2 linked regions of the Xenopus tropicalis genome follow. The protein of the gene in region 1 purifies or fractionates together with the protein of each later gene. This does not show direct contact. Links are inferred from orthologs where the notes say so. Each region holds a gene or a part of one and is shown in the gene's direction. Other genes may lie near its edges.

Evidence for each region. Proteins that work in one complex are often made in the same cells at the same time.
Region 2: the proteins of egln1 (region 1) and ptges3 purify together in Homo sapiens (affinity purification with mass spectrometry; 5 studies listed by BioGRID and IntAct, with this or other methods). This does not show direct contact. The link is inferred for Xenopus tropicalis from reciprocal best matches to the Homo sapiens genes EGLN1 and PTGES3.

The regions. Positions count from the first base shown.
Region 1 is NC_030681.2:57,944,774-57,948,273, forward strand, and holds part of egln1 (egl nine homolog 1), read left to right. Parts: intron 1-1,477; coding exon 1,478-1,614; intron 1,615-3,500. UniProt on the Homo sapiens protein: Cellular oxygen sensor that catalyzes, under normoxic conditions, the post-translational formation of 4-hydroxyproline in hypoxia-inducible factor (HIF) alpha proteins.
Region 2 is NC_030678.2:138,781,377-138,785,661, reverse strand, and holds the start of ptges3 (prostaglandin E synthase 3), read left to right. Parts: upstream 1-1,485; 5' UTR 1,486-1,590; coding exon 1,591-1,592; intron 1,593-4,072; coding exon 4,073-4,186; intron 4,187-4,285. UniProt on the Homo sapiens protein: Cytosolic prostaglandin synthase that catalyzes the oxidoreduction of prostaglandin endoperoxide H2 (PGH2) to prostaglandin E2 (PGE2).

The DNA.
Region 1 (3,500 bases):
CACAGACATGATTGGAAAGGCTGCATGTGGCAATTGGGACACACGGTCCCTTTTATTTGTATATAGACATTGAAACAAACTTCAGCCATCACCCATCAATTATTTTAAGTGGCTATTTATGTGTTTTGTCTTGTCCGTAACTTGTTTTTTTTTTTTGCTTTCTGACTAGGAGCCCTACTTTCAGATTCTAGAAAATAAATTATCTAGATCTGGGATCTTTTGTTTTGTTTTCTGGTCTGTTATTTAATCTCTGCTCCCTTGTGTATCACTACATGCTGGTCTGTGTCCTGGAAGATATAATTCAACCCTTTCGCTGCCGGCCAATTTTGTCACTTGTAGAACTTTTATTTAAATTTATATTCCAGGAAAACTATATATCAGGACAACCTAAGCTTTCTAAATATGCTATGAATGTTTGTGTAATTCCACTTCTGTAACAAGATATAGGCTTCTAAATGTCTAAAAAATAAAAAAAATATATTTTGCATAATATAAACACATACACCAGAAATATAAATTATTTTATGCATGAAAAGTCCTGTGTCTCCTGAATGCACCAATGCCAAATATTTACAGTTTTATGGAGATTTTTCATTTGTTTAGGGCAAAAACTCCCAGCAGTACACTACCAAGATTTCAAGGCCAAAAATTCCATCAACATTAAGTTTAACCTAGAAAACTATACATTTTTGGAAATAATAGATTCTGATTAATCCAGAATACGTAAAACTTGCAATGCTTTGCTAAAGTTAGGGTTTTTATAAAAAATTTAAAATTTTTGAAAAATCACTTCAAAGTTTCCAGTCTATAGCATATTATCTCCTACAGGTCATAAGGTAACCAAATAAAACATCCTGTATATGAACATTAGGGGGCCCCTGAACAGTTGTATGGAATGTAGGCCCCTTGAATGAAAATACATATGATCTATCATTTGTCATTTCAACTTCATACATTTACATAATTTTATGTAGGATAAAGCTACAAAAAAGTACACTCACCCCAGAAAACCATATTTTTTGGGAAAGTACACATTCTTCCAAAGTACACTTCAAAGTATCAAGCCACAAAGCTTTCCTAAAGTTGGCGATTTTGACTGAATATTTGAAAAAAAAAAAATAAAAAATAATTATATATATATATATATATATATATATTATATTTTTTGTTTTGTTTTTTTTAAAAAAAAATATTCCGTTGTTAGTGAACTTTATGCCTTGAGTGAAAGAAAATGAATTTGAGTCTTTATTTGCTAAAATTACAGTACACTCGTGTGGGAAAGGATTGCAGATATGGCCTCTTAGTTCTTTCTACAGCATTATACAATAAATAAATGGATACCTAGTCTGATTGCAAAAAAAATTTCTTTGATGTGTCTTGCATAGTGTGATATTGTATAACTAAAAGAAAATTCTCTCTAGAAAAATTCCCTGCTGGTCGTTGTTATATATTAAATACTGAATGTAAATTTTTTCAGACACATGGAGGTTTACTTCGAATTTTTCCAGAAGGCAAATCCCAGTTTGCTGATATTGAACCAAAATTTGATAGACTTTTGCTCTTTTGGTCTGACCGTCGCAACCCTCATGAAGTTCAGCCAGCTTTTGCAACAAGGTAATTCTTGTTTTAACATTTTTAATTTCATTTAATGATAACACTATTACTATTGTGTTTTCCCACTCTTCTGTAATTACGGCATCTACCAGTTTAATATGCTGACCTCTGTTCAGTTTGTCAAATATCAAGACTACAAGAGGGATAGGTAAAAAGGGCAGGAGACCTTTCCCCCCACCCTTCTTTTTGTATTCCTGACACACACACTGACTTTCTCTCCCTTGTTTTACTTTAATTACAAAATGGCACCATGTACAAATCAGCCAGTAATTATAACAAACTGTTTAACCATTACTGTGTACAAAATACTGTGCTGATTCAAAATTGCTGTAAAAGGTTCACAATTAATGGAGAAGGAAAGGCATTTTACTGCCAATAGATTAGTAACAATAGTGCAAGCTAGAACGCTATATTTATTCTGCAGAAAGCTTTAGCATACCTGAGTAAACAGCCCTAGAAGCTCCCTCTGTCATTTTAGCTTAGTCTCAGTAGCTTCTCTGCAGCTCTAGCTGCGGGTAGCTAAGATTACACAGCATAGTATGGAGGGGGAGCAAATTCTGATGGGAGGGGGAGCAGGAAAGTGGAGAGGGAAAGAGGAGCAAACTTGAGCAGACGTGCCCCTGCCCTGAAGAATTTTTCTGAGAGCAGGAAGTTTGATACTGAAGGACATGTGTACAAAAAAGAAGAAAGAAAATTCTGTGTTACTTTTGATATAGCTTTTCTGTGAGTGCTTATGGCTGTATTTACATTTTACTTAGTTTTTACCTTCCCTTCTACTTGTTTTTTTTTTTTAATTGGAACACTTTAGAAACTATGAAGCCAAAAGAGCACTAGAATATGGGGTGATTTTGGGTGTTTTGCTAGTAGCATTTATAGCTTGCAAATAATGAAGTGGACAGTACACCTATGATGGTATTTGGATAAACTAGAGTCCTGCTTTTACATTACTCAGACAAGAGACTTACAATAAAGAAACAAAAGTGTTAGTATAGATTGTGACTGGAAGATGTGTGTGTGCGTGCATGCAACTTAGTAGGTAATGTTTTGTAAGGAAAAAAAAAAACACATGTACACCTAGTTTATCCTTTTGACCTATCTTATATTTGATGCTGAAGAAGGCAGAAATTTCCCATCCAAAGTCCCTCTGAGTTGCCTCCACTTACTAAAATGGAATCAAACCGTGTGTAGCATCTGTAATATATATGTCAGTATAGCTGCTTTGGCAGCTACTTCACGCAATTTTTAGCGCCTGTGACCTGGGATGCCATCGGGTTTTACAAGTAGATAAAACAATCCTATGGGGTATACATAGTAACATAGTAAGTTAAGATGAAAAAAGACATACGTCCATAATGCCTGTATATAACCTGCCTGACTGCTAGTTGATCCAGAGGCAGGCAAAAAAAAACCATCTAAAGCCTCTCTAATTTGCCTCAGAGGAGGACAAAATTCCTTCCATTCATGTTTAAATGATTTTTAGCAGACTAAGGGGCTGATTTACTAAGACACGAATTCGAAACCGAATTGGAAAAATTCCGATTGGAAAACGAACATTTTGTGACTTTTTCGTATTTTTTGCGATTTTTTCGGCGACTTTACGACTTTTCGGAAATTATTTTTCGTTACCAATACGATTTGCGCGAAAAAACGCGAGTTTTTCGTAGCCATTCCGAAAGTTGCGCAAAATCTTGCGATTTTTTCATAGCGGTAAAACTTGCGCGAAAAGTCGCGCCTTTTCCGTAGCGTTAAAACTTAAAAGGCGCGATGTTTCGCGCAAGTTTTAACACTACGAAAAAATCGCGACTTTTCGCGCAAGTTTTAACGCTACGAAAAATCGCAAGATTTTGCGCAACTTTCGTAATGGCTACGAAAAACTCGCGTTTTTT
Region 2 (4,285 bases), on another chromosome or scaffold:
AAGGTATGGTGTCCACCGTTTTGTCCCTACTCAACAGAGTATGGGCAGGTTAAAGACAGCCAAACAGCACAGCACCCCTGTGAAGAGTAGTCTGGAGAAGTATCTATGCCCTCAGGATGTGTAGCAATCAAGGATCCTAAACAGCCAACTATGGATCAGGGATAACCTTATACCTGTGTCTTAACCACGGTCCTATATTAAAGCAACAATGCCTGTAGGGAAGAGTACTTCCAGCTAATCTCTCCTGGTTGGAGCCAGAAACTGCTCTTTCTAACTAGACTATCTCACTTTCCTAGACAGTGCTTCTAAAGGTATTATCCTGATTCTTGCTTATCCTCATTCACTGGGTCCCTGTTCTCCGACTTCACTAGAGTTATAGATAGACTCTAGGGTAGATGGATTACTGGGGCCCTATTGATCCCAGGCTCAGTGGAACTTGAGTCAATGGATGTAGCCAAAGAGAAGGATCCACCCCTTTGCTAAACATATTAGAGTGCAAAGGGAGTGGTGTACCTATGAACCAATAAGGCACAAATGCTAATATCATAGCATACTCGGGAACTTTGCCCAATAACAGGAAGATATAGGAAATGGTGGGGCTTAAAGCCATAGGGGCATATTAACCCTATGGGTCCCTACACTAAATCCCTGGTTACTAGTGGTTAAACTCAGCACAGGGTCCGAACCCCTTTGCACTCCTCGGTGGGGCGCAAGACTGCCATCTACATATCCTATTCTACTTTTTACTCCCAGAGCAACTATAACAATACTAACTGCTAAAATTCCTGAACTAAATCCTGCAGGCACCTCTCAGTGAGGTGAAATCCTAGGGAAGACACAAGCACAAACGAGCTCTCCCTGTAATAAGTTCATATACTGCCACCTACAGGGCAGGCTCTAGAATAAGTCTCAAATTTCTCCTGTCCAAGGGAAGAAACTTTACACATAAATGTAGAACCACGCTTAAAGCTCAGTTAGCTGGCCAAACTCTCAAGGAACTGTTTAACTAAATCGGAACTAAATTGAGAGCCCCTAACTATACACTATATAAATATACTGTCCCTGAATAACTCATGGTTGTTACTTTTCTTTTTTACCTTATGCCATAACCATTTTACCATTATAACCATAGTGCATACGGATAGTTTTCTTACTTGGACGACTTAGGATATGTAATTGTAACACTGTAGGAGTTTAAGTATCTTAAATCATTTTTTTTTTATTACGCACTGCTTAATTAAGGTTGCTTGGGTATAGCAAATTCCACCATAGTGCCATATATTAGAAGGCAGAACATTCCAGCAATTACCAGACGCAGGTAGCGCCGCCATGCAGTGCCTCAGACAGCCGGTAGGCGGCTTTAGCCAAAGATGCGCACGTAGTGCCAGCCGGACGTATTATCGCGAGAGTAGGCGCCATCGGATTGTCGGAATGAGCGCGGCACAGCCTATTCCAGTCCCTATTGCTCGGTGACGTAAGGCAGGCCTGGAGAGAGAGAGCGGGGAGGAGCGGTAGTAGCTGCAGCTTAGGGTGCAGCGGGAAGTGCGTGAGGAGAGCGGGGAAAGAGCGCCGAGCTAAAAGAGACGCAACATGTAAGTAGCAGCCATGGGGCAGTTCCAAGAGGCTCAGGGGATGTGAGAGCGGGAGTGTGCGGTTGTGACGGCGGGACCTGACCATCACAGGCCATGTTGCCGACACTGCCATGCAGGAGAATGGTTTGCTCAGTCAGGGCGCCCAAGGAATGGGGAGGGGGTATGGTTATTCCCATAGCCGGGAAGGCTCGCCTGTACTTGAGTAGGGTTAGAGGGGCGGCAGGGAGCGGGTTACTGCCCGTAAGGGAGGCTGCGGTGAGTGTCGGGCTGTACCTTCCATTACTAACACGTGTTGGCTGCGACCGGCCGGCGGGCCTCCCCCTGCTTCCCTCTGACTCCCACTGCCTCCCTGTACTTCCCCCTGCCTCCCTGTCTCCAGAAGCTTCTCTCGGCGGTAAGGCTTCTGAGCCTGTTGCTTCCGAGGAGCGCCATTGCCTTCATCCGCTAATCCTCTTATGTCGGCAGCATGGATCTGTGTCGGCTCGGTGCTAGTACGTGTATTACAGCCCGAAACGGCAGCCGAGCGACCTGTGCGACATCGCTCCTCCGTGTGGCCTGTAAGACCGGCATGTCTGCCCTACGCTTATGGGTGTCGCCATGTCTGCAAACAACATACTGCCCCTTCCTTTGTTTCTCCCTGGCATTCGGCATCTGTTCTACCAGCCGCGCCATCTGCCCACACTAGGTACACAGAAGCTTGCCCCTGGCATGGCTACCCATCATGCGGCTCAACTGCAACAATCAGCAGGCACGTTAGTGGCTGGGGCTGTTACACCATACACGTTCTGTTAATTAGTTCAATTAAATAAACTTCCCATCAGCGGCACAGCCAGTGGCTTTCTGTAGAATGTTCTAGTACATATAGTAGGCTGTGTAGCTTGGGTCCTGCCCACCTGTTAGTGCTGCTTGGGGAACATTTACATTTCAAACAAAAAAGAAAAGATTGTGTTGATTTTCCCTGTATCTAAACAATAGAGCTTCAGGCTGGTGATACCTGATCTCTTAGCTTGGCCAGTTATCTCAGCCTGTTAATAGGAGCTGTTAATATTAGTTATTTGCTGTATGTTAAAATAAGGCTGCTGCAAGATTCTTCCAGTTGTTTTATAGTGAAGACATTACAGGATGGATGGGGTTTAAATATTTGTACAGCTCCCAGTTTTTATTTTAAAGGAACAGTAACACCAAAAAATGAAAGTGTATAAAAGTAACTAAAATATAATGTGCTGCTGCCCTGCACTGGTAAAAGTTGTGTGTTTGCTTCAGAAAGTCTACTATAATTTATATAAATAACCTGCCATGGAGGCAGCCATTCAAAGGAGAAAAGGCACAGGCACATAGCAGATAACAGATAAAACACTATTGTATTCTACAGAACTTATCTGTTATGTAACCTGTGCCTTTTCTCCTTTTTTCCAGCTTGAATGGCTGCCCCCGTGGCTACACAGCAGCTTATTATATAAATTATAGTAGTGTTACTGTAGCAAACACAGCAGTTTTACCAGTGCAGGGCAACAGTGCATTATATTTTTATTACTTTAAAGCTCTTTCATTTTTTGGTGTTACTGTTCCTTTAATAAGTTGTAGGGTTTTCCAATCTATCAAGATTACAATTAAATATGAAAGCACAACCCAGCAGAAACACATACTAATACCTTCTAAAAATTGTTAACACAATTGCAGAACAGATGTTCAAACTTTGCCCCACAGGTAGCCAAGTATTAAACAGGTTACCTTTAATTACGTGTAATGTCTTGTAGGCTCATACCCAGTCATACATGCAGTTCACCTTTATGTAAATTTTTTTATATCTTATGGTCTGTCCTGGTATTGAATTATTTGCCAATTTCCAGGGATAACTGACCAAAAACACTTCTTTGTGCGGCTACAATTTTGTTATTGATACTTTTGATTACTTCTTTCTTTTTTAGCCCTACTCATCTTTGGGTATCTCATTTTAAACTGTTGCTATGTGGACCCCAGCTACTAAATAGCTGCTGAAGTTCTAAACTGTAGAGCTGCTTAACAAAAAGCAAATTAAACATATAAAATTATAACTGTAAATTTTCTCCATCATTGTTTACATCATATAAAAATTAATTTAAAGGTGAACTCAGATTCTGTCCAATCAATTAGTGTGACAGGTGGATTTTTGCCAGAAAACACTGAAAGGTGTGCATTCTTGGTAAAAACCAACTGTTATCACTGGTCATTGGCTGTTGTAATTCAAAAGCTGACAGGCTCATTAGTGCTGTTTGGGCATTTCTCTGCTTGCATTTTCCAGCATGTGTCATGAGCCCACTGTCTCACTATTGGGTCCTTTTGGCTATCTGCTTTCTCAGAGGTATACTATATCATTTTTGTTACATGCATCTTTATTAGCATGTATTTTTATCCAAATAAACCACAACAAACAGGGGGAAGATATATGTATGCATATGAGATTCTGTTAATATAAATATTATTGAACAATTTCCTTGCAGGCAGCCAGCATCTGCAAAGTGGTACGATAGAAGAGACTATGTCTTTGTTGAATTTTGTGTGGAGGACAGTAAAGAAGTAAAAACAGACTTTGATAAAAATAAATTAACATTCAGGTAAGTAAATTTGCTGTTTTAAAGGTCATCTGCTTTAACAATAAAAAGCTGTTTGAAAAAATAAACTTGTACATATGTTCTAGTATGGCTTCATAAGTG